4 linked regions of the Drosophila melanogaster genome follow. The protein of the gene in region 4 interacts with the protein of the main gene of each other region in a biochemical or structural test. Each region holds a gene or a part of one and is shown on either strand. Other genes may lie near its edges. The genes, in order: dpr1, dpr7, dpr2 and DIP-kappa.

Region 1 (7,589 bases), on a different chromosome or scaffold from region 4:
TTGGGTTAAATGGCCAGAGGGGTGCTTTTCCACTGTTTTCTTTTTTCTTTTTGGGTTGCTTATACCAAAGCCGAAAAACTAAAGTCAAAAGGAATGGGAAAGCGAAAGCCAAACACTGCCGACAGTCGATGACATTTGAGCGATAAGAGAAACTGTTGTGTGGCTTACTTGCTGGCAACCCTAGTGATTTTCTATACCATGTAATGGTTAGTTGGTTGTTGGGGGGGTCAGAGGTCGAGAGCGTTCCTTGTGGTTGTTGCTGGCATTAAGTATGCAGGCGTGTGAATCGTGAAGGCGGATATACAAATACGAATAGTATATGTTAGCCGACCTTCGAAGGCAGCCACAGTGCTACACTTGCTTTTTACAACATTGAGAATTGTTTTAAATGTTAATGCCGATGCTCTTGGGCTGATAATAAAATGGGGCAAGTGTGGGGAGCGGTGTGTCAGAGTCAACAAATAATTGAGATGTTTTCCTGAGTGTCATCACACACGCTTTTTTTTCTACAGCCCCAAAAAGTGGGTGGCTGGCAACCAGAGTGGGTGGCTGGTGCTCCCCCGGCGGACGAGAGTCAGCTGTTCTGAGTGCGCGCACTTGTGTTAAATTATGCGGGTTTGATTTTTATTGCACTGCCGCTCATTTCATTCTGCTCCCTTTGCTTTTTTTTCTCTCTCTCCCATTTGTTTTGCTTGCTTTGCTTTGGTTTCCTTTGTTTTATAGGTTTTCCCCAATGGGGGGGAGTGGACCGCATGATACCGAAGCATACCCACTGCCCAAAATCAAAACCATCTCGGAAAGTATAAACAAGTTGGAGTGACGAGCACGCGTGTGTGTGCGGCTGTAATGTGGTCATGCCTCGTTGCCCCAACGAGCTGTTGCTTGGCATTTCAATTAATGGCACTTGCCACCCTTGTATCTACCATACCATACCAACCCACTCCTGCCCTCCAAGGGGTCAGCTCTTCCAACGCTGCACTCCTAATGAAGCCGTCTCCAGCTCCAGCTCCTCCAGTTTCAGTTTCAGGAGGAAACCAGCCGCAACCTCATATCTGCCACCAAAATGAAGGTCTCGTCTCTTTGGGATGCTTTGTCAATGGGCGTCGAGATATGCCTAAACACTTGAAAAAAAAAACGATGCAGTATTGAAAAGGATCATAGATTACAATTATAGTTACTTCTGGTGCTATTACTCAGTGATGATTTATTCTGCCATGAATAATAAATCTGTAAGATTTATTTTTAGCCAATGGACCACTAATTTTTTTTGTGTGCACAATTGCAACTTCGCGGTGACACGTGACCGCAAGGACATTTGTTGAGCCTGAATGTGCCGCATCGCACGTCTTAATAGATTTTTGATTTGTTTGCCCACCCTTCTTAGCTGGTAACTCAGACTTCCCCATTCCGAACCCGGATCCATATCCGAATTCGAATCCAAATCCAATTGTGAGGCGGGCGTGCGTCTCTGATTGGAATAATGATTTCGCTGAAGCAAAGATAGAACATAAACCGAGCCAGATTTGTTGTTTTTTTTTTTTTTGTGGGGAGTAACTTGTTTTTGTCAATATAGAAAATCAATAACTGTTTTCGCCGCTACCGTTCGGTTAAATCAGACGAGGGTAATTCAATTAAGAAATCACACAGGAGGCCAGGAATTAGTAAAAATGGAACGCTCAAGGCTCCGCGAAATGGAGGATTAAAAGCGAGTCCTGAAAGTTGGCCATTTCTTTATTTCTGTCTATGATGAACAATGGGATGGTATTTGGGCAACATTTTACAAATTGTTTCAATTAAAAAGTTTACTGACTTTGCTTTTTCGCCTTTTACTTTATCTATAAGCGGCTTGCGATTGACACGTGCCTCCATCGCCACGCCCCCCCGACTGAACGCCTCCTTCGGTTATCGAATGGTAGTAATCGCTTTTTGGGGCCGCTAATTGCGGCGACCTTGATTGGTTGGGTGGTATTTATAAGTCCGCAAGTTGATTGCATAATACTGGCAATGTTTGGGCAGTGGGCCATAAGTCGTAAGCTGGGAAAGCCAAAAGCTGGGCCAATCAATTAAAAATAATCAGGCGGAAAAAGTTCTGGCCAATCTGCACAAATATATGTATATATTTCACAGTCGCTAATTAATTTAATTGATTTAAACGCTTCGGCTTGACCAATAGCAAGGCGAGGGGTTTGGGGGGTGTTATCGAGTGCATTTGATCTGTTTGTTTGCACAAAATTAAATTGACTTGTAATTAAAAGTTTCGCAATTGATTGAAATTCTCGTGTGTGCTTTTCCTTTGTGCTTTTGGGTGGCTGCGATGAGTCCCAGTACTAAGAACGCTTCAGGGAAATTCGCAGCAAATAAACAAAAAATAAGAAAAAGAAAAAAAAAAAAACACTAAAAAGTGCTAATTAGGAGCATTAATTAAAAATGCATTTTTTGTTTGCCGCTCAATTGAACTGCAGAGAACGTGGAACTGTAACAGTTTTCATACACTGGACATTTTCTCTTTAGGCCTGCGGAGTATAAGAGCGGCAGTATAAGAGTATCCCTAACTGACCTATGGCAGGATATTTTTGCGCGGTTTTCTTATTGTTTAGCAGCTTAAATGGTAGTGGGCATAATTAAATATTATATTAAAAACAAGAAGCAAGTTTCATTTATTAAGAAGTAGAACAATTTATTTCCTTTTATGATTTCCCTACATTTTAAAAGCAGAATGGTAAAACTAAGTCCCTAGAAAGTGGAATACAATACTAATATGTTAAAAAAAAGGTTTTATGAGTCTTAATAATAATTAAATAATTAGTAAAGGCTGTAATATAATTATTCATAAGCATTTTATTACAGTTGCAATAGTGCTTTATTACCTGAGACATTATATTCGATATAAACAAAGTTGCTTGGTAATTTCGTGCTCCAATAAGCCGACTGAAGAGAGCGGCTCTGCAGTTTTAGTTCTCTTTGCTCTTACATGTGAACAATATATATGCGAACTTGCCCGAGTGCCGAAGTTAGCCGAAGTCGAGGCGTTCGCCATGTGCCCGAGCGCCGATTACCAGTCAGTTCCATCCTGTGACTCGAAGGCGAAGCACGCGTTTCTTGATTTATGTGCGCGGGTTGTAGTCCCAGTTAAATCCTGTTCAGATATATTCCTCAGTGTTGAGGGTTTCGAAAAAGTGGGCCTAATGAGTGCCCGGGCCTTCGTGTTAATGGCGAATTAATGACGGGGCGATTAAAATGCAATAGCCACATGCATGGGGCGCCGTAATGAGCTGAACCGAGCGACTGAGTACAGTGAAACACAGTGCCATAAATTAGAGGCGCCCACAAAGTGTAGCCTACTGCTTAGCGGCTTTTGGGCTTACGATCTGTTTGAAGTGTTCGTAGACCGTTAAAACCTTTCGCACGCCCACAAAAAAAAAAGTTCTTGTGTAAAGCTCATTTCGCAGCAGATTAACAAAAAAGAAAAAAAAAACAAAACCAGAAAAAAAGGTCAACTCTCAGTGAAAACGAACCAAAAACAGGGCCAAGCGGAGAAAGTACTTTCATTGCTCCCCAGGCAGAGCTTAACCGAGAGTTTTGCCGGGCTCTAATTTGACGGAATCGTTAGTTGACCAGTGACGTTCCACCACCCGGGTGCACCCCCACCACACCGGAATCCGTTTCGCCGGATCCGGATCGCGTGCCAACTACAAGCGTAATAACAATAAACTTGCGGATAACAACCGCAGATACACAGATACAGATACAGATACAGCAGCACAATGTCCCTGCCATCCAGAGCCAATATCGGATTACTCAACTGGCTCATCGGCTGGCTGCTGCTGCTGTCGATGGTTTTGCTCAGAGGTGAGTTGTGCGTCGGGCTTTTTAATTAAATAATCCAATTTATTTTCATTTAATTTCTAATTAAATTTAATTTGTTTGCGCCGCGCTTTGGCCCACCTAATTGCCCCCATGCTCACCATGCCCACCACGCCCATCACGCCCACCATGCCCGTTGTAACCCAAAGACTTTCCTTTGTCGCCTAGGATTTCCCGTCTAATTTCCGGAAAACGAGCGATTTTCGCTGGCCTGGAAAGCGGGCGAATGCGAATTGAAAATTCTTTAATTTTTGTGCTAAGAATTTTAATTCCGCTACAGAGTCGGCAAAAGTTTTCCCTTTTGTCCCTGGCGCAAGTCAAAAGGTGAAGCATTTAATGCCCATCTGTGTGTGACTCCCAAAAAGTGGAGAACCAACAAAATGAAACATTATACAGAGGGAAAAACGAGTGCTCCCCCCGCATCTTGGTTTTAGAATATTTTTGTTTTTAATGCATATATTATATATGTATTTATACGAACTCTTCATGTTTTTTTTTGGGTTAAGATGAGTTAACAAAGTCAGCTAAAGTATATTTCTGTTAAATTATATAATATTACAAAATGTTTTAATATTGGATTTTGGATTGAATTTAACAACACTTTTAGAATATTCTACTTAAACTTTGTTTGAAGTAAGAACTTGAAATACTCACATTGTTATTGTACAATATTTAGTTTTATAGATACAATCACATACAAAAGTAGTTAGAAAATGTTTTAAAGGCTAGTCTACTATCATCTGCATTTAAAACTATTATTTACAGAAAAGCATATATGCAACTAAGTACTCCGGCTATTTGATTTTCCGTGCATTCGTGACCCACTCCTGTCCAGAGTTTTGCAGTCCTAGTTTCGCAGCCCACAAGGTTGGTCCAGTGACCAACTGAAGGGCAGGAGGATGAATGGCGAATGGCCGCATAGTGCGAGTGCGAATGCCACATGCAACGTGTGGGCTGGGCAAACGGTTTTATATAATAGTTTGCAACAGTGGGGCACAAGTCTCACTTTCAATGCATCAAATGAGAAGCACGCGCTTGTGATGCGCCGCGCCACAGAGATAGAAATGTGGGAAAATAAAAAGTAAATATGAAAAATAACACATACTAACGAGCGGCAGACACTTGGAAAATGCTGTTGAAGCTTGGTCATGGCCAAAATGCTTCTGGCTGCAGTTGCACTTGATGTTGTTGCCGCTTGCGCAGCAGCAGCAGCAGCTGCGTTGCATGTGGCACGTTGCAGTTGACACACGAAACTATTGCCATTGGGCTTGGCTTGGCTTTTTGGTTTTTCAGTTTTGGGGTTTAGCCGCCTGTTTGCTGCTTTTAAGTTTGCACTTTTTAGCTTTCAGCGGCTAGCAATTTTCTACTTTCCGTTTTCAGCTCGTCGTTTGTCATCTCTGAAAACAGTAAATTGCATTTTTATACAATTTTCCATCATTTGACTTGGCAGTTGTTCGTCTGGGCTTTGTAATTTTCAAATGAAATACTTTCCGAATGCAATTCGCTTTTGCGCAAATTGTTTCCTTCGTCCTGCTTTCCTTTGACTTGGCTGCTTCTTTGCCTTCTACCCGCCTATCTTGTTAGCCCATTGGCATCTGTCTGGCCATTTCATTTGGCTAAAAGCTACTTGAAGTTGGTTAAGCGCAGACAAACAGACGAAATAACTCATCTTGGCAATTGCAGAACCTGCAAAAAGGCAAGCAATCAAAAAAGATTCCTATCGAATTACTGGGCAACCGATTTTCCAAGGATTTTCTTTGGTCTGGGTTTTATTTGTTCTCTCACAAAGGTGATGATTATTACTTGTAATGATATATTGGAATTAAAATTATTTAATACAAAGTTTTTGGGCATAAAGATGGTTTAAGTTGATTGCAAAAGGCTAACAAGTCAAAATCTAAAATGTAATTTTTCACTACTTTAGCATGGACAACTTTGACAATTAGCCATATTCACTTTTTAAGTACCAATATTTTATAGTTAAATTTGCATATTATTATGCAGATTATTTTTATTTTTATTATATATATATGCATATTGGAATTTTTTGAGGCAAATTTTCGGCCGGCTGTTTGATTCTTTTTCTCAAATTAATTGACAGGGAAAAACTCGACAAATGCATGCGCATATTTCCATAATGAATTCATAAAACTTTCGATCGTGTCCTTTCGCGAGCTCGTGTTATTTGGTTTGTTGGTTTATTAATAAATAAATTCTGCCCTTGCGGTTTGGCTCTTTGTATGTGTGTGTGTGTGTGCGTGTCACTCTGTATGCAAAATTGCAGTTATTTGCACAGCTGTTTTGCCATATAAGCCAAACAAACGATTTTGCCCTTTTTCACCGCATAACTCGCATGTGCCGTGTTTTTTGACCTCCCCCGCAGCCACTATTAAGTATTTTTGTAAATATTTTCCATGTCGCCGAAAAGGAAAGCAAAATGAATCAATGGCGAAAAAATGATAATAACCGACGTGATTTTCCGTTGAGTACAGTTAATACAGAAGCAATGCTGGGAAAATATACATATACATATAATTGCTGGCGAAACAATTCAGCGTAGGCCGGCATCATTCAGCGGTGTCAGACTGATGAATGAGCCGACGCATTGGCCCAGACAAACGCCTAGGAGAGCACGCAATGCCCATCCATCCATCCATCCACCGTACTGCCATCCATTTCGTTCTCATTTTATCCGATGAAAAACTGACGAGGCGGCGCCTCAAAGTATGCAAAGCACATACTCAAGGGTTCGCAGGATCTGTTTGCCGGCGGGTACAGGTTATTCACACAGGCAGCGGCGTGAAAACCCGACGGATTCTTCATCAAGGCCGACCAACCAGATTTGTACCTTATCTTTTTTTATGCGTATAAATATAAACATACTTTTGGTTTTCACCCCCCAAAAAAAAGCTGCTTGAAGAAACAAACTTAGCCCGTTGTTGATTTTAATGGAATATGGCTTTACAGGAATTTGTGATGAATGGGTGGTTAAAAGTTCCACCGGAAGGACTCTAGACTATATTTGGCTCAAGGAGTTTGGAGGGAAAGTCGAATGGCATCATTAATCATTTAATAGACCAAGGACTGTACTTGAGGATGGTCAGGGATTACAGAAATCTGGAAGTCATTTATTAAAGTAATTTATTCACTTTACAAAGTTATCTTTTAACTGATGTATGAAACATATTTAAATCTGGCTCAAAATAATAAACTATCCCAAATCCCAAATCATTGGTTTAACAGAGCTTTGTGTAGCAAGCCATGAATAACTTTCTTAAACATAAGTCTTATGTAATACTTCAATATATTTAAGTGTCGAGCGAGTTTGAGTAGTTAATTAGGCAAAGTATTGTCAAATAGTTTCCTAATTAAACTGCTGGCACAAAGTTTTTTTTTCGGGCCAAAAGCTGAAAAGTTGCGCAAGTCGTTGACAAGCAAGGTATATATATTTTTTTAGGCAAATCCACAGCTTTTCAAATTATGATTCCCTTTCTAGGCGCAGGTCAAACCAACATTATTTTTTTACCGCTGCCTTCGTAACACTTATGGATTTGACATTTATATGACAGCCAAGGTTTTCTTGTGTGCAAGATTGTTGTTTCTGTTGCTCAAGCCCCTTGAGTGTGTGTGCTTTCGTTTTCGTTTTTTTTTTTTTAGGTTTTCGTCAGGAAAATATATAAATGAAAATTGTTTTTATTTTGCCCCAATGGCTCGGCATCCATGTG
Region 2 (10,703 bases), on a different chromosome or scaffold from region 4:
AAATATTTTTTTTGGAACCGATCCCAACGCTTTCTTTTACCTGGAACATTCAAATTATAAATGATAATAGCCCATTTTGCCTTTATCAAGCAGAAAGAACTGACTGCAATAAACACAGTTGAAAAGGTAGACCACAAGACAGCCCGCATTCTTTTCAACGCTTACTATGCCAAACATCATACGCCCTGAAACCAGACATATAAACCAAATATGGTGGCCGTGCAAGACAAAAAAAGCTGATTTCTTTCAGAATTTCATTTATCTTTAAAAACTAGCAAGCAATCCAGAGTAAGCGATGGCACATTATTTACTTATCTTTATTTTCGCGCCAACATTTTAAGCATTCTTCTGTCATATAAGTCTCATAATAACAATTCATTAAAAAAATTTGTTTGATAAAATTATTTAAAACCCCAAAAACGTAAAAAATTAAAATGAAGTATTCTCCAATATCGTAAAACTGCTTAAAACTCTAAATTGTTTAATGTTGTACGGCACCTAGGAATTGCTTTTTTGGTTGAACACCGAACAAACTTGATTCCGCAACATACGTTTTCATTCAGTAGTCGTTACTGTTTAATTTAAATCATATTTACTATAATTTAGAGGTATATATATACATCCCAACTGTCATTCATGTTGCTTGGGGTCCAAGATAATAGCCCACATTCCGACACACCCTATGTTCACATATATTGACCTCTTTCTCAGCTCTCCTAAATTAACATAACACTTTAAATTCACAAGTGACTGAAGTGCACTGAACTAGTCGTTCAAAAGCAAATGTATAAAATAAACGATTATGTCGGCGTTAATATAGTGATTTGAAATAGAAGGTATTTATTTTTATGTGTACTTACTCTTCCAGATCTATAACCTTACCGAAAGACTTAATGTTTATTATAGGTTTTTATTTCATAGTACTATAGGAATTACATGTAGTGTTCGTATTTGCATAAACAGAGCGCGATTTTACAATGGTTTCTCCGTAAACACGCGGTCATCTGAAAAAATATAATGTATTTCATTTCATTTATTATAATTTAAATAAATTAGCATTGCCACATGACCCACACTTTTCTCTTTAAAACAATGTTTTAACTTTACTTTAAACTTTAATGTCTTGGATGTTGTCTTGTATAGGGGCGGCTTGCAATATATCGGAGGAACTCGAACCTTATTCTTAAAGATCATTAAGCTGTAGCACATTAAAAACTTTCTTAACTATAAAAACTATATTATTAAAGGAACACAAGAGTGTTCTGAATGATTTATTTGCGATATAAAACATATTAATCGTATCCGCCATTATGTTGCAGGAGTAAAGATCGGACCAATTAAAGCCAGCTATAAAATTGTTTAGCCTACGAAAATTTGCCTTGCGAAAACAGTGAATTCGCTTGGTTGACTTCTCTGAATTTACTTATACCTTACCTATGTCGATTGCCACCTCGAAAGTAGGATATGGATCTTGAGGTTGAGTAAGAGGGTCTACCCTGGACAGAAACACACTTTCAGGACTTGTTACAAAACATAGATCCAACAGTCGACCAAGAGAGTTTGGAATATAATTAACTAGCGACAAAGATAAGTCGAGCAAGCCGTCAATAAAGTCATGTTGTGCTAAAGGGAGAAGGATATTCGATTTTTCTTCTGGGGACCCCGTTGTGCCAGGTATATTAAAATCACCTAGAACTACCAATTGGTCCCTGTCAGACAGTTTATTCAAGATGGACTGGATATCGGACAGATGATTCTTATATTCTGGGAATTCAGAAGATGGCGGAATATACGAGCACGTAATATAAACTGAACTGTCGGAAAATTACAGCTTTACACATAAGAATTCCGAGTTACGGGAATCGCCCAAAAGTAACTCTTCTGACGAGAGGATAGATCTAACCGCAATTAAGACTCCACCTCCCCGTCTGGAGGGACGGTCATACCAAAGACACTACAATGACAAGATGCGTAACGGCCATACATTGGTTTGGCACTATGCAGCCGCCACTTTTTTGGTGACGGCCAAAATTGCTCTCTGTCCGCTAGCTTACGCCGAGAGCGTAAGAAATCTTAAAATAGAACTTGCTTGCTTGTGCAAGTAAAAACAAGAGACGAGAACGCGTATATGTGTGCGTGTTGTTCTAGAAGACGATTTCGGGCCGAAAATTTTAGTGCCTTTGATCTGTCCCTAGCGTAAGAGAAGTTACACTTTTCCACTTTTATATTATCGGCTTTTGTTTTGTCTTGTATATAAGACAATACATCAGACAATGTTTCATCACGGGAAAGCCGAGAAACGAAAATTTGTTTATTTAGTGGAACCACCGCGAGGGGTTTTGGTCCTGCAGATTGTATTTCTGAAGTGCCAACTTGTGCCGTTAGTCCGGACTCAATGTTCCGTTGTGGTGGTAAACTAATCGGGACAGGTGGAATCACTGGTTAAGAAACCAGTGCAGGCAATTCGGAATTTTAAGCAATCACAGGTTGGGGTCAAACTGCACAAATCACAAAAGAATCACTCGCGAAGCGAACGGATCTTTAATAATTATGTTTAAAATATTTGATAATTAAAAAAGATTATTAAAAACCACGGCTGGTTGGACAAACACGAAATAAAAATCGGGTCGCAAAAAAAAAAACACGAACGTTCGCTTTGAAAGCTAATAGACTTTTTGAAGGCTTAATTATTAACATTGTATTTATACAGGGATAAGAGAACCTCACATTGGAGTTGATTAGGTTCGGGGATTGAATCTTAATACATTTAATTTAATTATTCTCAGCTTGCAAACCAGTTTATCGACAAGTAAGAAACGATGTTCCGGTTCCGCCTGATAAACAGCTACATCTTATATTGCATGTCGTCTAAACCCTTGAAGTTAGAGCTCCTTGTCTTCGTATCATAGATATGTATTGTGAGGAGTCTTAAAACTCCCCACAAATCCGGGGAGCACCAGCGAAGAAGGCGAAGGTTAAAGTCAGCTCTAACAGGAAATAGTGGATCTTAAACCCTGGTAAAGCGGATGCCGTGAACTAACGGTACCGCGCTGAACCTTGGACTCGAGCCAGAAATCAGTGAACTTTTAGTGGCCATGGAAAAAAAATGTTTGGCAACTCAATAAAAATTTACAAGACTAATGAAAAAAAATATCAAAAAATTTTGCAAAAGTGTGGGTGTGGCAGTTTTGGGCGGTTAGAGTAGGCGTGTCAACGCGTGGTTGAAAATACGAAGGAAACTATTCCTTTCTTGTAAGCAAAGAACAGCTGGCAAAACGCGAAACTAGAGTTTATTCGTACTATATAGGGTTGATAAAAATCTATTATCTTACCTTAATGTTATTTATATATTATAATGGAAATTATATTGGTAGTCATCTTTCTCTTAGATACATATGCTCCATAAGACTTGAAATATATAACAACACTTTTGTTGATATGATAGTTATCATTGCAGTGAAAGCCCTAATCCGAATGGCAGAACTTGTTTGCATTGCTGCAGGCTGCTCACCTGTACCAATGAAATATTTAAAAACATATTAAATTGAAATAATTTTATGTTTACCAGTTAATACGTGAACCCTAACAGAAGCTGGAATGGCTCCATTTGGAACGCATGTATAGTTTCCAGAATCCCTTAATGAAGCTCGCGTTAGCATCAATCGACTCGTTGTTCCTACATCAGTTTTTTCCGTTTCTAAACTTATTCCACCGCGAAGTGAATCGAAGTCAACAACTGATGAGCCATGATACCTTTGATATAGTAAAATAAGTTGTTAAAATCTCTTACAAAGATCATGGTTTCTTACCAAATCACAGATGGTGCATGTATATTAACAGAGCAAGCCAGGGCAATAGTGCTATCCCGTTTTACATGAATTTCCGTAGATCCAAGAATTTTTGCTCGAGCCGCTTTAAAATATCACAGATAATTTTAATTTTAAGCAAGCTATAAAAGGCCTTACACTTTGTGTCGTAAAACCGCTTCTTAGTTTTAAGGTCTTGAAAGTCGTTGTCAGCTAAAATTTTATACAAAAGTAAATTTAGTATGAGTAATTAAATTAATACAACATTTTCTGGGGGTAAGCATATTTATGAACTCTTCCAGGTGAAATTAAAACCTGAATCAAACAAAAACCAGAGAATGAGACCCAAGTCGGTCCGAGAATTTTTAACATCTTTCAAGAATATCGATTGAACTTGGGAAAAAAGTTAATTTTAATTCCCTAAGGTGTGGGCGGGATAGATTTGGGCGTGTTTTATGGTTCAAAGTGGGCGTAGGTAAAATGTTTTCGGCATATCGGTAGAAATTAGCAAACCAACTGATTTGTGGGAGTTAGAGTGGGCCTGGCAGTATGTCTGTAGAATCTGTATGCTAATCTCAAACTTCTAGCTTTTATAGTTCCTTAGATCTCGACGTTCATACGGACGGAAGGACATACTCGGGTATTTATCCTGAATATAGTTGGAAACGCTTCCTTCTGTCTATTACATTAAAAGTAATGATTATAAAAACTCCTCGACTTTCATGTACCGTGCGGGTAAAGTTTTTGGTCGGTTCTTAAGTAGGAAAGCTCAACTTTCTTTATCAAGTTCTTTATCAAGAAAATGTAGATCAATTCTCAATATTTAGTTAGTTAGTTGTTAAAAAAGCTGAACGCATGTCAACTGTGAAAATTGACTGATTTTGTTGCTTTCTAACTTAAAATCGCGAATTTTCGAAAATGTGTTTAATATCAAAAGTCGGGGAATTTTTTGTAAAATTATCAAAAGAGTCAAAAGGTTCCTTTTGCTGCAGTCTTTAACCTGTTGAATTTAGATAAAATAGGTTTAAACAGTATAGATAGCATTTGAATATGCATTTCCAGCTATTTATTGCCCAATACTCTAGACTCATTACTTTACTAATTTGTGTTCAGATTTAAAATTTTTAATTGCCAAGACTTGTTGATTTCTGCCTCTTGATTTCTGTATTATTTGTTATGGTCGCTCAACGACAAAATTTAGTTTTGTATATACAGTACTCGAGTTCCACAGTTATTATTTTGTTTTTTTTTTTTTTGTTTGTTAATAAATGTTTATATATATACCTATTACTTGCAAACAAATTGCTAAATTTATTTTAGGCTCGGTATTCACTTGACACTCATATACGCCACTGTCTCTTGGCTGTGCATAATCAATTTTTAAGTCCCAATCTTCACTGCCTGGTGGATGTATTACAGAAAATCGTTGATCGCCGGTGTAAGTATAAATGTTCGTTGTAAGAATGTGAAGATCCCGCTTACGCATCCATGATACCTGAAATAATTAAAAGTATTTATAAGAAATATTAAATAGATACGCAATTTTAGGACAAGGGAAAGTTAAGTCCTCCGCTATCTGATAACCCTTTCACTATTTCAAAATGTAATCATTTATTCCTAATCCTATTTGTTTAGATATAGGCAAGCTTGCTAGAGAAACATGAGACTTAAAAGAATTTTTCACATTTTCAAATTGAGAACAGGCCTCGAAACAAGCTTGATCGATGGAAATGGAGGCAAGTTCCCACGTAGATTTGGGAGGAGAGTTGAAAAGGGCTAGCGAAAAGACAGCGCAAGCTAGCAATCCTTGGGAGAAAACTGCCTTTAAAAAATAAAACGTTTTCCTGGTGTGTCCCCAAGTTTAGTTTGAAATTTAAGGTTACTTCCCCCTCAAACAATTTTCCGTCACTAATTCGTACAGTCGTACTTTTTACCATGTGACCGAATGTGCTCTTCAAACGAATAAAAATGTTTCGATATAATCCTATGTGTAAGAATAAAAGAAAGAACCCATAATGACTTACCGTGCGATTTCCTTTATTTTTAACCCGACATCTTAATATTGCGATTTCGTCGACTACGGCCGACACATTTCTTGGGCTAATATCATCAAAGAAAGGTCGCTCCAAATTGGTTAGGTCTAAAATGAATTTGTATTTTATGTTAAACGAAAACGGATGCTAAATTATTCAAGCCGAAGCGTATATACCCTTGCAGGTATAAACTAAAAATAATTTTATATGCCCCTTATCTAGAAGCTAAACATTTTAATTTAAAGTTTCGATCTTTTTATGGACGGAAGTGTCGGTCAAGACTAAGAGCTTGCGACAACTATATATACATGCGCGAAATCTTTTGCGATAGGTCGATCATAAAGAGTGGTTACACTTGTTGGTGAAAGAGCTTGGGGCGAGACATGAAACTGTTGTCATCTTTTAGAAACCGAAGCTCCTCTCGAAGGATGTTTTGCAAAGCAAGCTTTCAGGTGGTAAAAATACTATGGGCAAAATGCAATATTAAGATTATTTTTTAGATTTAAATTTAGCATAATTTAAATACAATGGCTTTTTAAACATAATACTTTTGCGTATAATTTCACAATTGAATATTGTTAAGTACAATACGTACATACATGTATAATTTTTGTCTTCGTATTCAGGAATGCATTATATGTTTTCATTCTACACGTTGCAGAAGAAAATGGGTCCAACCAAAATTAAAAAAAAAATCCCGCAAGGGTAAAAATATATTTATCATTCTAGTGGGAAACTTTTAATTTAAAATGTATCTTACCGTTCAGGCTTAAATATGAAGTTGCACTAATGTATTGACACCATATATTTAAATTCAAGACTAAAATAATGAATGGTTTGATTTTAATTGGCGAATTATTCAAGAATGTGGCATGTTTGCCACGCGACATGTTGCTTTAATTCATTTGTCTTTCACAGATATGCATTATTTAGAGTAGAATTCCATATACCTATGTAGTTATAATAAATGTTAAGTATATAATTAAGTTAGATATTAAGCACACGCGAGAGCACGTATTGGCGCAAGATTTTTATTGAGAACAACTTTGTATCGGCATCGATTTTTTATCCTTTTAATGGACTTTCAAATAATATTCTGTTTTTCGGTATTTAGATCTGTGTTTTTAATATACATACAATTATACTTGCTGGCTTCAATTTTTATATACTTTTTTTAGTCTTTACACTTATTTCGTTGGCATCGACAATTATTATTTCAACGGTAAGCTCTAACAACCCCTAAGCAGCACGTTTTAGTGTTTCTGTGAGGACGACTTGTATACAGATTTTTAATATTCTGCAACCCTGAAAATATTCGCGCATGCCCATTGTCACATATGTACATATGTGTTATCTTACAATTTAGGATAGATTCTATATATTTATAGATTGCGTAGGTTATAATTATTTGTATGTATATATTTTTTAATTTTAACATTTTGAAGTCATATACTAAGTACTCTAGTTTCCTTTTATTGCTAAGACTCAGTAACACGGCTTAATAATATAAGCAATGGGCGGAATACAAATGGTACACATCAATTTGAGACTGAGATCAGATAAACGTGACAATAGCACCTTTACCCCTTAAATTTCGAACAAATTTGTTACTACTGACAGTTACATTCTCAAAAACGGTAATGGTAATGTAAGCATACATTGTGAATTTATCCTAAAAAAATGCATAAGTTATTATACCAGTTACTCGTAAATTTAAATGATATAGAAAAGGAAACGTTACCCGTTACTCGTAGAGTAAAAGGGTATACTAAAATCGTTACAAAGTATGTAACAGGCAGAAGGAAGCGTTTCCGGCTACATAAATTATATGATATTATTATATTATATACATTTTTATTCTTGATCAGGATCAAAAACCGAGTCGATCTAGCCTTATCCGTATGAACGCCGAAATCTCAGGAACCATAAAACCAAGAAGGTAGAGATTTAACATACAGCCCATATTTTAAAAAAATTGTTGGATGTTGTTCCAATATTTTATTATTCTTGTACATTTCTATCGATTTGCCAAAAAACTTTTAGCCCCGCCCTAAAGCCCCAAACCGGTCACGCCCACTCTACTATTATTATTAAATAGTATTAACTATTATTAATTTTTTTGTCATTTTATTCCCCAATATCTATCGATATCTCAGAAAAATGATAAAATTCCGCGTTTGCATTTACACTAGCTGAGTAACAGGTATCTGATAGTCGGGGAACTCGACTATAGCATTCTCTCTTGTTTTAGTTTTAAGTTGACTTGTTTGAAAATTAGTGTAAGTTAGTTTAGTTCACATAAAGTTCAGTTTCGCTCCCTTAAAAACTGTCACCGTCCTTGTTAACATCTAGGTGTTTCCTTTTGAAAATCAATTCTTAAATTCAAAATGTAGCTTCACACAGATAGAACTATAACTTTTCAACTAGCAGCTTGCACAGAGCATGACACATACATAAGGCCAATTATTCGCTTCGGACTAAACATCTGCAAAAGTGTATAATTTGTTTTCCTTATAGAAGGCAACACCATTTCAGGTCAAGGTATTTACATGAACCTAATGTAATGTCTCATCAGCTCTACCGCAATAGTAGTATTATTCTTAAATAACAGTACATTAATTGCAAACGAAAATACAAATTCCAATTGAATTTAGGTTTGTCCGGTATAAGCACGACAATTGGGATAACAAGGTATTATGAAATTGTATACATATGTTTTTGTACAAATCTTGTTTGTAAATATAAACTTAAAAAGTAAGAAAAGTAAAGAGTTTGTTTTCAGAACGTGTATATGTATGCACATTAGTCGATCACAAGCGGGATGCTCTTGTACCATAAATACATTCAAAAATAATATCTCGTGAACTTCGAAATATTTTTATGTTTTTTTTTCTGAAAATAATGTTCTCTTATTATGTACACGCTATCTCGCCAGGCATTTTGTGCTATTTTTCGAGGTTTAACAGTGTCTAAATAGAAAATAAATAGTATCAATAATATGACATATAAAAATTAAATAACAAATAAATAATCGTAAACCTCAAGGTGTCATAGTTACTATTTGTTGATAAAATTATACAGAAGTACTGGTTATTCCAGAATTTCAATATAAATATTGTGTGCTTTGAAATATAAATAAAGTCACTCACATGTGTAGATACCAATTCTATTGTACATATACGAAATCTCTCCTGAGAAAATCAAATATATGTACGCATTTATAAATAAATTGGTGTTTTTACCTAGTATATTACTTTGCAACTCTTCGTATAATTGTTAACCTGCCTTTTGAAAATATCGTTGTGAAAATATGCTATGTGCTGATGCGGTGACAATTACTATGAATCCAAATTAGTGTAAAACTTAAACATATGTACTAAAAACACCACTATTATGATAAAATCGCAATAAAAAAAGACCTGTTGACCTTTAATCTCTGCGTCAGCGTAAAATATGGAATTTCCAAAAGAAAACGAAGAATCTGTGAACTGTTTGAGGAGCCCCATGGCGGCCGTTAAAAAAAGGTCGGGGCCGTTAGATATAGCACTTGACGAGGCTAACGACGTATCGAAAATATGGTCGTTGCCATTAGGAAATGCCTCCAGCATGCGTAAGCCAATGATTTTTGCGAGTGAGCACTCCGAAGGAGTGGCTTCTCCAAATAAAGTGCGTCGTCGCAGCACAAAAGACAAGGAAAAAAAGCGAGAGCGCTGGCTTCTAACTCGAAAAACCTGGAGATATATGACAGATGCAGGCCGTAAGCTAATTCCTGATGGATACCAAACAGGGTCAGGTAATCATGACCTAATTGAAGATCAATTTCAACGGGTGTGTTTATCTGAACCAAGTTTTATTTTATGGAGTCGCAGAACATCATACCCAGGAGCATTCAGCTGTTCTAAGCGGAGATTAAAACCATTGTTGAGGCATGCAAGTGCTAGCCGCAGAAAACAGACAGTTGATGCAACCAAAGATTATCATATTGCCGATCGAGTCATCGAATTATTGCAGACTTATCTTAAACTTCGTGATGCATACAAAACCACAACTTTACTTGGAACTAAAACAGTTCGGCCAGATCAAACATCATCACCCAGTGCACAAAGGCCAAACTTCAAAAACAATGGTGACAACCATCAAGTGATATCATCCGGCACATCTATTCAAACAGAACTCTTGTCCCTTCTTAAATTGTTATCTAATTGCCCTTTATTTACACATGAAGGAATTCAGCTTAAGTTTGGCGATGCTCCACTAAGCATTCTCGAAGACAAAGTTCTTTTGAAAAAAATCTATAGCGCGCTTAAGAAACAACAGCTCCATAGGACGCTACATTCCAAAGATCCATATCAAGCTAATTTTTCGACTTCATTGTCTTGCTTGATAAAAAATGGAAAGGAATTATCTAGAGGTAACACTGATAGTAACAGAAGCAACAAGTTACTACATGACAATTTCTTTTGTCTAATGAAATGTGATACCAAACCAATTATACCAAGCCCCAAAACAGAATTCTTTTTAGACCTCAATAAAGTCCCGCAGAACTTTGAGCTTAAAAACAAACTTAATTCGAATGGACAGAGCGTTGAAAGAATCCAGAAAACCTGTGGAACACAAACTAATTTTATACAACTGAGCGAGTTAAAAACTTTGGCGGAGCAGTACAACTTAATGGTTACAAATTGCGATAATACCTTAAAATTATTAGAAGAGCCTTCTAAACAAGACTGTTCAAAGTCTTCGCATTTAATATTTAGAAGAAGTTCACTTGACGAAGACATTTCTCAGTCAGTTAGCGATACGATTAAACGGTATTTGAACATGGCAAGAAAAAAAAGTATGCAAGATTCTGATTCAAACCGAT
Region 3 (7,245 bases), 2.8 Mb from region 4:
AGAAGCAGAAGGCAAAGCCGAAGCTATATAGAAAAGGGGAAAAACCCAGACAAAACGGAGAAGCAAGCACGAATGCAGGTGGCTAACAAATAGAGCAATTGTTTCTTTTTCTGGGTTTATTGGGCAGATTGAAAGGGAGAAGTGAGGCGAATATCCAAGGAATTTGAGGCAAAGCATTTTAAACTACACTTGCAATGCATTTAAGACGAAGCTAGTGCTATGGGAATAAAATATCAGATAACTGAGAAATAGATTTAAAATGAAGGATTTAAAATTTATATTTTTCCATGGATTGATGAAAGAACTTTAGACCAAGACTTTACCTTTTTATTCGCCCACAGATTGCACAGCATTATAGTTGCTTGTTTTTTTTTTTGGGTACCGAAAGTAAGCAACATGGCCAAGTAATGTCTAGCATAAACATAAAAATCCATCGTGCGTTAGCCTCCTTCGCCCGAAAGCCACAAACACAACAGAGTTTGGGGCTCAGAACCGCCTCCAGACCTCCCCCCCCCCTCACCCCAAGAAGGAGGCGAAGGATGTGCCCCGGCTGGGTGTCTGCAGATTAGGATGAAGGTCGCGATGGCTCGTCGGTGTCTCCTGTCAGAGTGCTCACTCTGCTCTTGGCCATGATTTAATTAAAGTCTACATGTGCTAAGTAGATTTTATTCTTTGCTCGCTCATTTGGTTTATTTGCCTATTTTTTCGCCCTAGTTTTCTGTTTCGCCTGCTGGCCATAATTGATTTAGGCATTTACTGCATTAGGCCAAAAAAAAAAGGCGCTCATACACTGGGAATGAAGTCAGGAAGAGGAAAGATACCATATTTGATTTATCAAGGAAACTAAGTCATTTCTCAATAGTGACTTTTCTGGATATATATTATGCTATTTACCGTCTGCCTCATACGAAATGAAGTCAACTAATTAACTTGTGCCTCCTCCTTGATAGTCAATTTTGGCTTACAATTGTGATTAGTAAATACGTATATGATATGTAAAATTTTAATAAACTTAACTACGGCCGTTGGTCATTGTTAATTTATAGCACATACATTCATAATTCATATCTTAGAGATGGTATTGAAATATGCTTTTATATGTGCACTATTAAATTGAACATGTGTGAATTGCGAGTGAGATCTACTTACACAACGATTTGACTGCAGGATGTTGTTGGATGGCAGGACTCAAGTGTTGTTGTTGCATTGTCCAAGCTCTCGAAATGCTTATCATTATTACGAGGATTGGCGTTGCGATGCAACCGAAGCATTTTCCCTCCATAGCCATGGTCCTGCGAGCCGGATCTTACTTATTTATATTTATTCACCTCAATGGCGGTTAGATGAGTGTAATTTAGCCCCACAAGTTTACGTATTTTGGTTTACATTACTGCTAATGGTTTGGTTCCTAAATCGTTTTTGAAGTGCATTCTATAAAGAGAGGGAGGAAACATTTTCATTAACGCTATTATTTGTGAAATATTCATGAAAAGCACTTGAAATGAATTAATTTGAATTATTGCAGCCATTCATTGCACTGCTGCCTAACTTAACATAAATCATTGAAAAATTATAAAAGTGTTTTTTTTTTTTTTGTGACAAGAATATAATTAAATAGTTATATTTTTTTGCAAATTCTAAAGGATTCAAGCCATATATAGCCAAGTTTATAGTTGGGGTATGTGAAAAACCAATTTCGTCCATCGAATTCCATGTTCGTACAGCATTTAACTGAAGCAAACATTGATATTAACCGTAGGCCTTCATTATAAATGTCCTTCATTCACATCATTTATCCTGTATCAAATTGCAACGGCATTAATTTATTTTTACATTTTCGGAATGTTTACGTTTGTATTTGTTAAGCCCTCATATATTGTCTGTAGTGGCAAGTTGCTTATCGCCACCATGTCACAGGAGCAGTTTTAACCAACGCAATTTGTATATTTACAACCCGCAAGCCGCACTCAAATAGTTTTTTATTTGGCCATAAAACACATAAATTGTGCAACTGAAAGGTGTAGCCTTGATCACTCACGAAATGTGCAAGGGTCAAAAACCAATTAAAATGTTAATTTCTCCACAAACTGCGCTTTGTTTCACGTTACAATCGTGCTCCACGAACGATCCAAGAGATATTGTATTCAATAAATATCGATTCCATGCCCTTCGACCCACCCTTCAGTTATCATTACCACAGCACTTAAATGATTTCAACCGTTGCTGGAGTTGTGTAATGAGTTGTTGTTTGTTGCGATGCCAATCAAACAATGGTGGTAAAATTAACATGGAATCAGCTTAAAATGCGCACTGCAATTGTTATTTTCATGGCATCGTTGGTTAATTGAATTTAGTGGTTTTGGATATGTATTGTTACTTTTTGGATAATTTAATGCCAAACTTTCATCGCGATAATGATGCATTTATAATTTTAGGCTAGTCCATTTTAAGTGCCACAAGTACAGTCTGCTGTTAATTAATGATATATATTGTACTTCTATGGCAGAGTCACTCAAATTCAACTAAGCCCACTTATCAAATTTAGCAACTGGCTTTTGTCTTCCGTTGTGTACTTCAGGCATAAATGCAAGTTAATTAAGCAAACCTGGTTGCACATTAATCACCTGGACACCCGGCCAAAAAGCCACAAAAGCACCTGGAGACCACTTGATCTTTAAGGAGAAAAGTCAAGGCATAAAGCTCGAAAGAAAATTCAATTAGAAAAACACGAAAGGCGGCCAAAAGAGCGAGGAAAACGGTTCGATTTCAATGTCTTCTTTTTTTGGGGGCTGTCCCCGGACATATGTATATACTGCTATTCCCTATTCAAGCCATTCTTTATAAGGTTATAAGATTAATGAGAGACAAGCTCATCTAATACTATTCCCTCAAGCGGCACTTAATTAATGCCACATGCAAAGAGTCCTGCGAGGTCCTTGGCCTTTGTCGAGTCCTTTTAAAGGCAGCTGGCAAATTGTCCAAGAAGTTTTCCTTAAAATTTTTTTTACTGTCGTACTTAACGAGTTTTTACTAAAACAAGGTCGGCCTTTTGCCTTTTTGCTTAAATATTAAATGTAATTATACTTTATTATATAGTATAATATGTGCAAAAAATGCTTTAAATCAAAGCCAGTGCTAACAAATGGATGTGTACATGTTTGCAAAAGTTTTAAAAGTCCAAAACTACACCAATTATTGACTGTCTGTGGAAAGTTTATTTATTGACGGAACAACTTTGACCTTTCCGCATCACCTCATTAACTTTTTTGTGGTTTAGTGAATTAATTACCTTTCCTACTTCATATCACCACAAGAACTCATTAGAAATGAGGACTCACTTCAAAGTCAATCCGTAACACACGTGCTCATTAGGTACATATTTCCGATTTTTCATTCTGCCCTGGATTTCAGAGGAAAAATGCGAGTGAACTTCAAAAGCAGATAAGGCGAAGAAGAACTTGGAAAAACTTCCATCTCAACTTGGAAAAACTTTGATTTAACATTTATTTTTGCACGAAACTCTTGGTTGTTGTTTATGCAACTGTCTGGAGTTTCAGTTGAAGTCTGTAAAAAATGTGTTTTGTTTTCTGTGTTTCAATCCTATCGCTAAGCGTATAATTTGCAAGAAACCTGAGTAACAAATGCATTTTCGATTGGCATTAAATCACGTCGCCCGTCCGAGTTCATTTCCGATGAGAAATAAATGTTTTTCTCTGATTTATCTGTGCTCCACTTTTCGAGGAGGGAAAATCGAGCCACATTGAATGCGAAAGAGCAGTGTGGGTGGGTTAATATTAATGTACTTAAAGCTGTTATTCGACTCAATTTTGGTGTCAGCAGCAGCAGGGCGAATATTTCCCATGAATTTAACCATTTAAACATCCAATGTTAGTTTTTAACAGACAATTAATTCAGGGGACAATATCTTTCACTGGCCGCATAAAGCGGCCTCCAATTCGAAACTTCACTTTTGCCTCAAGAGCATTATACACTGAGCGAAATCGAAGCCGAACGATCTTAGTGTCGTCTCGCGCACAAGTTGAAAAAACAGATGCGGCAGTTGGGAAAGTTGGGAAACCGCGACACCGCTATCGAATGCGGCAACTACGAGATATCCTTTCGTGGCCAGGACCACAATCTGCGATAAGGACTCGTAGTCACATCCGCGCCAAAGGACGAAACACGTGCGCCGCGACTTGAAATTCATTTGATACTGCGGCATCCGAGGCCGGAGCTTTTCCGTATTGTTGTTTCCTCCGCGCTGCAAGTAATCGTTCCGATGTGAACCGAGTCCTGCCAGCCACGAACAGGACGACGAGTTGGTTGTTATTGTCACTCCCGCACTCCGAAAACGGGTGACTTTGCGGCGAATTCGGGAAAATCCTTGTATTTGAAGGGGCGACTGTCTCCAAGATGAACGTCTAAAAGGGAAATTTTGCGGGGAGAATTTAAGCAACTATAATGAGAACCCTACTTTGTTGTACCAATTAGGAAAAGATTCTATCCAATCATGCCATTTCATGAAGATACCAAAGCTTATAAATATTTTAGAAATATAATTAAAACTTCTTCAACTTTAAAGGTGTTATTTTTCAAATACGCAACAATTTTTTGTTGTTTGCACTGCTTTGAATTATGATACACTGCTTAGGAATTTCTCTTCACTGCTTATATGGGTAACAAAAACCTAGGGAAATTTTAGTTCTTGGACTGCTTGCAAAACATTTGAACTGCTTAGTTTCGAGAGAACTGTTCTAGAAAAATTGCCCAGGAAATATTACTGATCTAAATTCTAGTCTCTTTTGGGAAATAAAAACTGCTTTCAAGCCGCTTTTCCAATTTAAACAAGTGTGTAGTGCAAGCCATGCTGCCAATGCCAACAGGTGTGTTCAGAATCTTACGATTCATCAATATGCCCCCAAAAACATAATCAAGCACAGAAAAACATTGAGAAATACGCCTTTACTTCACATCTTTCAATTTTATTTTATTTATGCAAAATCGTGTTTTCCATTAAATATACAAATGAGATTTAAAATCAAATCAAAAGTATCGCGCTATTATGCAAGTATTGGGGAGGAGTCTACAGAAATGTACACACAAATGCAAGAAAACTATGAATAAAAGTATAAAAATATTTGAATCTATTGTTTGCCTTCAAAATGCAGTTGGAATTGTTAAGTTCAGTTAACACAATAGAGTTAACACTTCGCGCATCGCCACAAAAAACGCACTTTAATAATTACAATTACAAAATTTCAATGGTAGAACTTTTCACAAAACTCTCATGCCGTTGTAAACGAATTTAAAAATAATGTTTTCTCAACTTGGAGAAAAATGTTTAAACACATGTTTTACAACAGAAAATTTCTCGTGTCTTTCACTAATTTATCAGTATCGAGGTTGAATTTACTAGATTGTTAGTGTACTATCGGCATCCACAAAGATTTGCTCGTATTGCTTTTTCTTAATTAAACTTGACGAGAAGTTGTTGATAAATGTGAATGACTTCTTGAGTTTCGACTTATAGAACATTTTCCGGTTTTTTAACTTTTTGCGAAAAATTAGGGCTTCCTTCACTATTTACTATGACGCGTATTCTGTTTGCATCTGCTGCAGCTGCTGATGATGTTGCTGTTCGAGAAGTAAGCGTTCCTGACGCTTAAAATCATTTGAGCTTGGCGTATGCGTCGACCTTTTTGTGAAACTGGTTGTAGTACTCCAGGGCGGCGTTACGCGTCTGGTTCAGCGCCTGATTGATGTTCTCGGGCGAGAGACGGCCACTAAACAAAGATCACAATCATAAGGGATGCATTCTCAAAGACAACAAAGGCCAGGCAGGCAGGCATACTTACACAAGCACCTTTTCCTTGATGAGCGCTGCAGCCTTTTCATAGCTGCTGGCGGCTAAATCGCTAACGCCAGCGGCAAAAGCTTCGATTTTGCCAGACGAATTGGGCACGTATTGGTCAATCTAAAATATAGATGGAACGTATTATTAATTCAAAACTGGTTTGCCCATGACCTCATCTTCATGGCGACTAAAAGACACTTACGAACTTTGCCACAACGGGCCATTTGGCGCCAAAGTATCCCTTGCCGTTCTGGTAAGCGTTGCAGGCCGCATTCCTCGCCAGCTTCCACAGGTCACAGGTGGTCTTGATCACCGGCTCGGCGTACGGCGGCACATTCACTTCCGCCCACTTGTAGCCCCGCGCTCCGGCCCCCATGACCGTGTACCAGGACTTCTGGACATGCGGCAGGACTCCGGCATTTTTCAGCACCTTGCCGGTGGCCGATTTCTCGAACACGCCCTTGCCGTTCACCTCGGTATCGTAGTACAGAGCTCCGGCAATCAGGGCGATGATGAAGATGCTACCCAAGGTCCACTTGCAGCATCCGCATTTCTTTTTTTCTGCCGCGGCCTTCTGTTTGTTCTTCTTCTGCTGCGCGCTGCTCTTCTCTTGGACGCTCTACATAGTACAAAATTAGAAAATTATTAAGAATCTTAATTGCTGGGGATAGTTGATATTGTGGAATCATTTGATTGAGTTCAATTTTTTACCTTTTTGGCGGCCGGCACTGGTTTGCCGCTCTGTTTGTTACTTTTCGGTTTAACCTGAGCCATTTTCTAACTTAATTTCAATGAGTTTCGATTATGAAGAGTATTTCTAGATTTCCTCAGCTGTTCGCAAAAGATGTTTAATTATTTATTGTGTTTATCATTGCAATTGTGTTTGCTAAAAAGAATGACGAGACTTTTTGAGCTTTTAAACTGAGCTTTTTTTGCGACTGAGCTCGATGACCTAAGATTTAAGAGTAAGCTAAAACCGCGAGTGAGGATGGGGATAATTAAAAATTGGAAATACGTAGTTATAATACCATTTTGTCCAGATTAAAAACATTTATATTCAATATGCAGGCTATGCTTAATTGGTGTAGATACTTTTTTTTCAATTTTTAGGAACACTTGTATAGGTTTTGCACAAATTTAATGAAGAAAACATGTATTCATTCATTGTGATGGTCTTCAAAATTAGATATATTTACTAATTACTTTAAACGTTGAAAATGAATGAACTAATGAACTAAATACATTAGTCATAATGATTATGAAAAAATGTAATCTTTTTTAAATTTGTTACTTTCACCATTATTTAAAAATAACACACCTTGTCTCTAAATTAAAGTATCATTTACACTCACAATAGTTTCTTCTGTGGACAAAAGAGTTGAATGAACTAT
Region 4 (7,594 bases):
GCATTGCTGAAATAGTTATTCTTGGGCAAACCATGCATAAAATCATAATATATCTTCACATACACGCAAGCACAGCTATCTCGACCAGAGTTGAAGTGGAAATAGGAAAGTCGCTGGCCGGGGAAATGGCACTCAGCTGCAAAACATTGGCCCAAACGATAAGTGACAAACATGGTAAGGCAAACAAATGTGTATTTTATATGTTTGCCGAATGGAAAAGGCGAAGGCCAAAGATGCACAACTGTCAGATAAGTGTGGAGAGCATTTTGCGGAGTGTCTTTCTGCCCGCAGGTGACATGTTAAACGTCTTGTAAGCATTTGCATTTCCATGCTCATAAAATAGAAGGCATAAGATGGAAATAAGAAAATTTCCTTCCCCCTTGGGGAACGAACGGGTGGAAAATGTTTCTGGAAAATATCTGCACAATGCATATATGTATGGATGTGTGTATGTGAGGAAACAACTGAAATAGCATGACGTGGCAGGGGCCAACATCTTTTATCTGCAGTTCATTCATTTTGTTGGCAGCGACTTCAAAAGGGTTGAGTTGTTGGCTTTGGCTTAAAGCATATTTGATTATGTCACAAAATATCCTTGAGCGTTTTCTACGCCGTATCTGTCGGCCTCTTCGTTTGCTTAGCCAAAGATAAATTTCACAAATATGCAAATAAAACACTCGCCCCTTCCGAACGGCCGGATGAAAATGGAAAATTGTTTTCATAAATATTTCAAATATGTGCAATTTTTGTTCTTGGCCAATTGGATGTGAACAACCTTTTGAAAAAGGCAGGGAAACTGCTGCAAAGCAGCAGCGAACAAAAACTGAAATTATTTTCTCTTCCGAAATTGCTTTTAATGGCACATACATTTTTCTGGGCAGATCTAAATATCGAGGTCCATTAAGTTTTAATAAAAGAAAGTTGTTTTACCTGTAACTGTAGCAAAGGCTTGGCCAGAGGAGGAATAAAATGCAGGCTTTTAAAGATTTTAAATTTTAATCGATATCAATAAAAAATATTTTTCTTTTGGAATTTTCAATGAAGGTCTTTTTGATAATATACTGCACACATAATGGTCTGAGTCATTTATTGAAAGAAAACTTTTGCCAACTTTTTTACCCAGGAATCGTCCAAAATTCATGAGCGTTGAGAACTGCCTAACTTAATTATCTATACACATATTATTTCGCTGATTTATTATTAATTCGAAAATTACTTTTCTTATTACTCAGACAGCTAATGAAAATCGTTTTCAAAATAGATTCCACCAGCTTTTGAACCCCAATAGAAATTACGTTTTGCAAGTGCTCAATTATTTTAATTAGCTTATATTGAAACCCAGTAAAATATCACTTGGTATTTAGAGCAAAAATAAGTTCCTCTATTGTCACTATACTTCGACTTTCCCCGCTCGGTTCATCAGTCAATCAATCAATCAAACTAAGAAGCCCATCAAGAGTGGCTCATTAAATTATCAAAGCACTTACCCTTTGAGGGGATTTCGGCGAGGGTGGGCGTGGCTGTCATCAGCATGGTAACCGCGGCAGTGGCTATTATCGTGATGGCCAACTGCCGGACGTTAAACTCCGCCTGTAGGCGGAAGCGGCGGCGTGTATGTGGGCGTGGCAGGCGGTGGGGTCCTGCCATGGCCATGGAAATCCTTTACCTTAATTTTCTTCTTCTGCAAAGGTTAATGTAACGGAAAAAGTTCAACACTGCGGCGGACAAAATGTTGCCAAATGTTCAAGCCTGATATTCACTGGCCGTCAAATGTTTTCACCTTTAATCACTTAAACGTCGCGTAATCAACAGCAACAACAAGGGGGCTGTAATCAACACCAACGGCGATTGAAATGGAGTGTCATGATGGCGATTATGATGATGATGACTGACTGGGTGGCCCCATGACGATGACGAGCCAGCTTGCCACCACTTAACTGGGGCCTCGGCCCCAAAGTCAAAACCCGAACGCGGATCCGGATGCGTGGAGTGATTTGCTGCTGCTGTTTACACGCATTTTTCCTACATAGTTTGGTGCCACGGCCTTTTGACTTCTGACTTTGAGCCAAGTTTGTTTGCTTAACTTTGAGTTTTGAGTCCTCATTCCACGGTACCGTCGAAATTCATTGCCTGTGCGTTAATTTGAAGCGTTTAAGACTTCGGCTCAGCCGGATTAAATATCTTCAGACAGCACACAGACAGTAATTTGATTTGTCGGCGGAAATTCAACATTAATTTAACATTGCCCTTTAACCTTATGGTTGTGCAGACAAATCTTACACAAAGAAGAACGTTTTTTATTCAAACTTAAAAGGAAGATATAGAATATAGCATTTTTTAATGACAAGCTAACAATTAAAGACATTTCAATAAAGATATAATTTAAACTTAAGCCTATGAATAATGTTGCATGTAAAATTAAATGGAAATTATGTAATGAATTTTAATTCTGTAAAACTTTCGATTGCTTTTGTGTAGAAATTTCAAAACTTTTTCAATTGGATTTGTGGATATCGCAGGAATGTCTTGCTGCGGACCCGTGAATTTACTTTCCTCAAAATCTCAATTTGCAACGTCAAGCTGTCAACGCTGTGTTCGCTGGCAAATCAAGTCTGACAAATGAAATGATTACAAAGTAAACAGCAAACACGTAACACACAAACCACCTGTCAGAAACTTTTGTGCACCCACTTTTTTTCGCCAGTCGAAGAAAAAAGGACAGTGGCAGGCAACATTTCACAGGCGGAAAGCCAGAAAGGAGTATGATCGAAGAGGCATGGCAAAAACAATAACGACGCCATCACAACACTGACACAAACGGGAAGCGGAACGTACCGAAAATGCAACGGCGATGCCAGCAAAATGGCAATGGCAACACTTCCGTTTCCGCTTCCGACGCTGCGGGCGACTTTCTCGCACAGTTGGCAAAACGTTGAGCAAACTCAAACGCAAACTCGAAAGCAAGTGCGACGGTCGGATGGCGCAACATAACAAAGCTTGTTAGCGTTGCTGCCCCGCAGCGGTGCAACAAGCGCCCCTTATTTTATCCCAACCTCCCAACAAAGGGATTGCGGATATCGCAGGGTGAAGGAATCCGCCCTGTTTTTATGTTTTTTTTTTTTTTTCGTTTCGGGGCATCAACCAGAACACGGAACAATGGCGACGAAAATATACGAAAATTTTAAACGCTTTTAATATTAAAGCGTCCGGTATAGAGACACAAACGTCGAAGAACCCGGCGGCACAGGACCACCAACAAAATGCAACACGGCGTGCAACAGCAGCAACGTCGGCAGAGGCATGCGGGGCATGCAAAAAGCGGCAACTGCATGAAAATGCCACACAAAACCAACAAAATTTTAGGATAGAGCGATGGGAATTTTTTGATAAGACTTTATGCTTCCTACTAAAAAGTTTTCAATTTTGCTTTCTAGTACCAAGTCAAATGGTATAATTTGTAAAGTAAAAATATGTCTGAAATTATGTTATTTAATTTTACACATAATTAAACAAAAAAAAAATATTTTTAAATTAAAATCCTTTTTAATTACATAAATTACCCGCTGTATAATATAAATATTCCTACACAGTGGGATCTTGTAATTTTCTGTCTATATAATCCTGGTTACCCTGTAAGCGAACCATCTTCCTCGAGTAAAAATTCGGGTACACTTAACAACCCAACTCCTGGGGCACCAGGACTTCTGCAATACCCATTCCATACCCTACTATGCCTCCTGCCTCTTGGCTGGGAGTGCATTTTTTGCCGAGTTCTTAGACTGCGCGACCCTCTTCGTGACGAAAATGTTTCGCTTAACTGGATTTTCAAATATTTATTGCAACAAATTATTTTGCTGGTTACATGGCGGCTCTTTGTTTGTGTCTCAACATGGCCAAACATCCCCATCCCTTGGCCCCTTCTCCGCAGTCACAGTTCGTAAGCGGTTTTTATGGCCATTTAGTTTGTTGCATTCCAGTAAAAGGATTTGGTATCGGGATATTTGCGGTTTTTTGCACAATTTCTGACAAATTAGGGTATTACAGTTGCATTCAATTTATTTCGAGTGTAAAACCCATATATAATGGTTAAATTGCTTTGCCGTGGCAAGTGCAAAGTATTTTCGTCATGAAAGAAAGTAGCGCCATAATCGAGTGTTTAAAATGAAAAAAAAGAATCTTAAGTAAATTAGTCAGTTCGTATGAAATTGGTTAATTATTATGAGTCAAATAACGACAATAAAATGGTTTTAAGCTCTAAAAATGTATTTTTACTGTAGTAAAATAAATAATTTTACTTAATTAATGTAAAAAACTAAAACTTTTAACCTTGGACGATTAATTGTACTTAAGTCAAATCTCCAATAGGTGTAACTGAAAAACAATGAGCCTATCTATCGTCACCATTAAAGGACCATCACAAAAGTTTTTCAGATTGCAAACAAACGTGGCACATGTCGTCAAAAGGTTGGACCAGCACTTTAGAGCCACGTTCTGTTTTTTTTTTTTTGCAAAACAACAAACAATTTGATAATTACTTTGAATTGAGCACGCAATTGCGAATGCAAGAGTAATGGTAAACCGAAGTCGCACCGCACGACAAATGCACAAAAAACTTTCACTCGCTCACAACTTTGGCGAGGTCTGCCAAAATCCGGCAAATGACAGCGGCAGGACCAACGACAGCGGCAAGGATAACGACAACGCACCGAGTAGCATTTCGCGTAGAACGCTCGCGTGGAATCGCAACTCGCACGTCAGATAGTTTCGTGGCGACCCTCGCTGTGGGCACAGTCCGTCCGTTCAGTTGAAAGCCCGATTCACGACTGAACGGTCGGACGACTTCATTGGTGGAAAAGCCACTGCAATAATGGCCCCAAACGACGATGCCAATTCGTGACGCCAGTGACTTCGGCTTTCGGCCGCCTTTCGGGTTTTCGAAATTCATCCGTTTCAGAGAAGGAATGAACTCTCGGTGCCGGAGAGTTGTTCACTGGAAAGTCCTACTACTATAAGCTATTTACTCTTCTCTTACGCTTAAGATTATATGGATTATTAACATCTCATTATGCGTTGAACCAATAAGTGTGTTATATCTTCATTAAATTAAATATTATGTTTAAAATCAAATAATTGCAATGATTTAATACGAATTCTTCCACACATAACATCAATTTTGAATTTAAAAAAACTTCTAACACAATTGATTTTAATAAAAATAACTACCCCAATGAAACGTTTGAGTGAAAACATTTGAATGACCTAAGAGAATGAGCCAATTCCTACCATGAACAATTACTTCTGACTTTCCATCCCAAACCACCTACGAACTCATTCCATGCTCAACTTTCACAGCCAAATTAACACGCATATTTAAAAAGAACAACTGAATAAATTGGCTTATCTGGCGAACACACACTAAAATGCCCGACCACTCCAATGGCCTCCAACCCCTTGGTCAATGTCAAAAGCAGCTACCACACAACTGAAAACTGGCCTCAACAGACTGGTAGCTACAATAAAAAATATTCCACATACGCAGCGTTGGCTGCTGGCAACATTTAGATAAACATAACTCGGAAACTTAAAACCAAGTCGGGGGCAGATTGGAAAGGACGAGCCATCTGACCGATGTTGAATCCATATACGTAAAGAGCCAAATTCCCGGCAAGCAGTTTTGGCCATGAATAAAATAAACAACAACATCAACTGAGTTAAACAGGAAAGTAAAATAACTAATAGCTACTGTCCCTGAGCTCTCAACATTTTTGAGTGGTTAGACTGGTTTGAGTTAAAGCTAGAAAAGTTTTATCAGGAACTGACACAAATTCCCCTTGACCGTCACTCTAAAGTGAGCATTAGGAAGAGTAGGATTGTTGGTTATAATAGTGGCTCGGGCCCAAAAAGGATAATCCAATGATGTTGACCAGGACCTTTTAAGTTGACCAACGGGTCATTGTTTAATACTTGTGCATATGAGTTTATATCTATCTACTCCTTAATAAAGTTAAGAAAATTAATGGATAATTAATTAAGAAACTGCTTAGTTATTTAGCAATTATACACATTAAATCATATAGTTAAAATGGTAAGACTATTATAGTTTCGGCTTCAGCTATTGAGTTAATGGCTTTCGTCTCAAAATACTACCAATCTCCACTCTCACGGTAGTCGTCTATTGCTCCTTAGGGATCAGCATTTAGCTGAAATCTGATAGCATTTTCTGCTTTCTGCTGGTGTCATGCTGGAAACGACACCCAAAAGTGTGGGCATTAAACGAAAGTTTATCTTTTTTTTTTTTTTGCTTCCGATGCAATTGCAGTAAATTGCCAGCACAAAAAGAGGAGTTGTTAGAGGAAACAGAGCCCTTCCCAATGGCGCACTGAACGGCTTTTCGGGACCATCTTGGAGCAATTGATTACTACGGGCAACTGCATGGGCGTGGCATGTGGCATACTGCTACTTAGAGCGCATTAGCAACAATCAGCCGAAGGAAAAACAAGCTGATTGCATTGAGTGCGAAAATTGCTGCTGAACTGAAGTTAACGGCAAATATACCCAAATGACAAAATCATGTTAAAAGCGATATCCACAGCCAAGTTCTTAGACTTATTATTATTATTACTGGCATGGGGAATGAAAAGACGTACCTAAATGATTAAAATAAGATATTCAGGTACGAAAAAAAAAAGCCCATGTTCAATTGTATATGTAACTAACAAATCTTACACCTTTCCACCCAAGAAACTCTTCAACTCGAATAAAAATATTCTTTTTCGCCGTTAATCAAATAAATGAGTACTTAATAAATATCATTACATTTTTATTACATTCTCGCCGCAAAGAAAATAAAATTGATGTTGGTCCATGGAAAGATACATAAATTTAATAAATCGTTTAGCAGTTTTTGGACAGTTCAGGTGATATATACAAGTGGATCTAGACTGGTTGGGTATTCCGTTTCTTTAGAAGGAATAAACCTCGTTATATATTTCTATTTATATTCTTGACATTTAAAAACATTTAAAGCTGTTCTTAATAAAAACATATACTTAAGAAAAGTTCAGAAAAGTCATTTACACTAGTTTTTCGTACACACAATGGTTGCTAATCCCGACCAACTCCCTGTGAATCGATCATGCGGCGCTATTGAAACCTTTGCCAATCTCCGCTAATCAAAGCTACCCTATATTGCCTCCCACAAGGACAAATCAATTCGTGCAGGCAACAGCGTCCTGGGAAAGAAAAATCCCACCAAATGGCGTTTCCATTGCTATTTTCTGGGCTCCAACTGGCGAGTTATGGCCGCTATTTCCGTTCGGTTTTCACAACTCAACGCGCCGACTTGTTCGCTTTTCCTTTTGCACCTCTAGGTGGTCCAAAGTCCAAGGACTGGGCCAAATCGGTTAGCACAGCTTCCAGCGGATTTCAATTTTATCGCCGCCAATTTACTGCCGCCGTACTGTGTTTTGCGTTTTGCCGCTGTTTTTGTGTTGGGCTGGCCCATTCACATTTTTAGCCTTGGCAAAGAAGGCCGTCGCTGTTGCACATTTTTCTCGCCACATTTTCCTTTGTGCTGCCCTCGGTGATTTACCTT

The links.
Region 1: the proteins of DIP-kappa (region 4) and dpr1 form a complex in vitro, tested with the Drosophila melanogaster proteins (one study listed by BioGRID).
Region 2: the proteins of DIP-kappa (region 4) and dpr7 form a complex in vitro, tested with the Drosophila melanogaster proteins (one study listed by BioGRID).
Region 3: the proteins of DIP-kappa (region 4) and dpr2 form a complex in vitro, tested with the Drosophila melanogaster proteins (one study listed by BioGRID).

Annotation. Positions count from the first base shown.
Region 1 is NT_033778.4:20,695,422-20,703,010, forward strand, and holds the start of dpr1 (defective proboscis extension response 1), read left to right. Parts: upstream 1-3,061; 5' UTR 3,062-3,764; coding exon 3,765-3,849; intron 3,850-7,589.
Region 2 is NC_004353.4:246,225-256,927, forward strand, and holds dpr7 (defective proboscis extension response 7), read right to left. Parts: upstream 7,106-10,703; 5' UTR 6,977-7,105; exon of another isoform or gene 6,790-6,976; 5' UTR 6,730-6,789; coding exon 6,600-6,729; intron 6,488-6,599; exon of another isoform or gene 6,487-6,487; coding exon of another isoform or gene 6,435-6,486; intron 5,947-6,434; coding exon 5,831-5,946; intron 5,302-5,830; coding exon 5,091-5,301; intron 4,020-5,090; coding exon 3,966-4,019; intron 3,913-3,965; coding exon 3,810-3,912; intron 3,754-3,809; coding exon 3,566-3,753; intron 3,512-3,565; coding exon 3,375-3,511; 3' UTR 3,333-3,374; intron 1,005-3,332; 3' UTR 900-1,004; downstream 1-899. Other genes in the region: RhoGAP102A (Rho GTPase activating protein at 102A), read left to right, coding at 9,293-10,703.
Region 3 is NT_033779.5:10,959,937-10,967,181, forward strand, and holds the start of dpr2 (defective proboscis extension response 2), read right to left. Parts: upstream 4,218-7,245; 5' UTR 3,290-4,217; intron 1,432-3,289; 5' UTR 1,289-1,431; coding exon 1,150-1,288; intron 1-1,149. Other genes in the region: Tmem214 (transmembrane protein 214), read right to left, coding at 5,669-5,783, 5,856-5,974, 6,057-6,473.
Region 4 is NT_033779.5:13,712,486-13,720,079, forward strand, and holds the start of DIP-kappa (Dpr-interacting protein kappa), read right to left. Parts: upstream 4,836-7,594; 5' UTR 4,536-4,835; intron 1,827-4,535; exon of another isoform or gene 1,682-1,826; 5' UTR 1,654-1,681; coding exon 1,488-1,653; intron 1-1,487.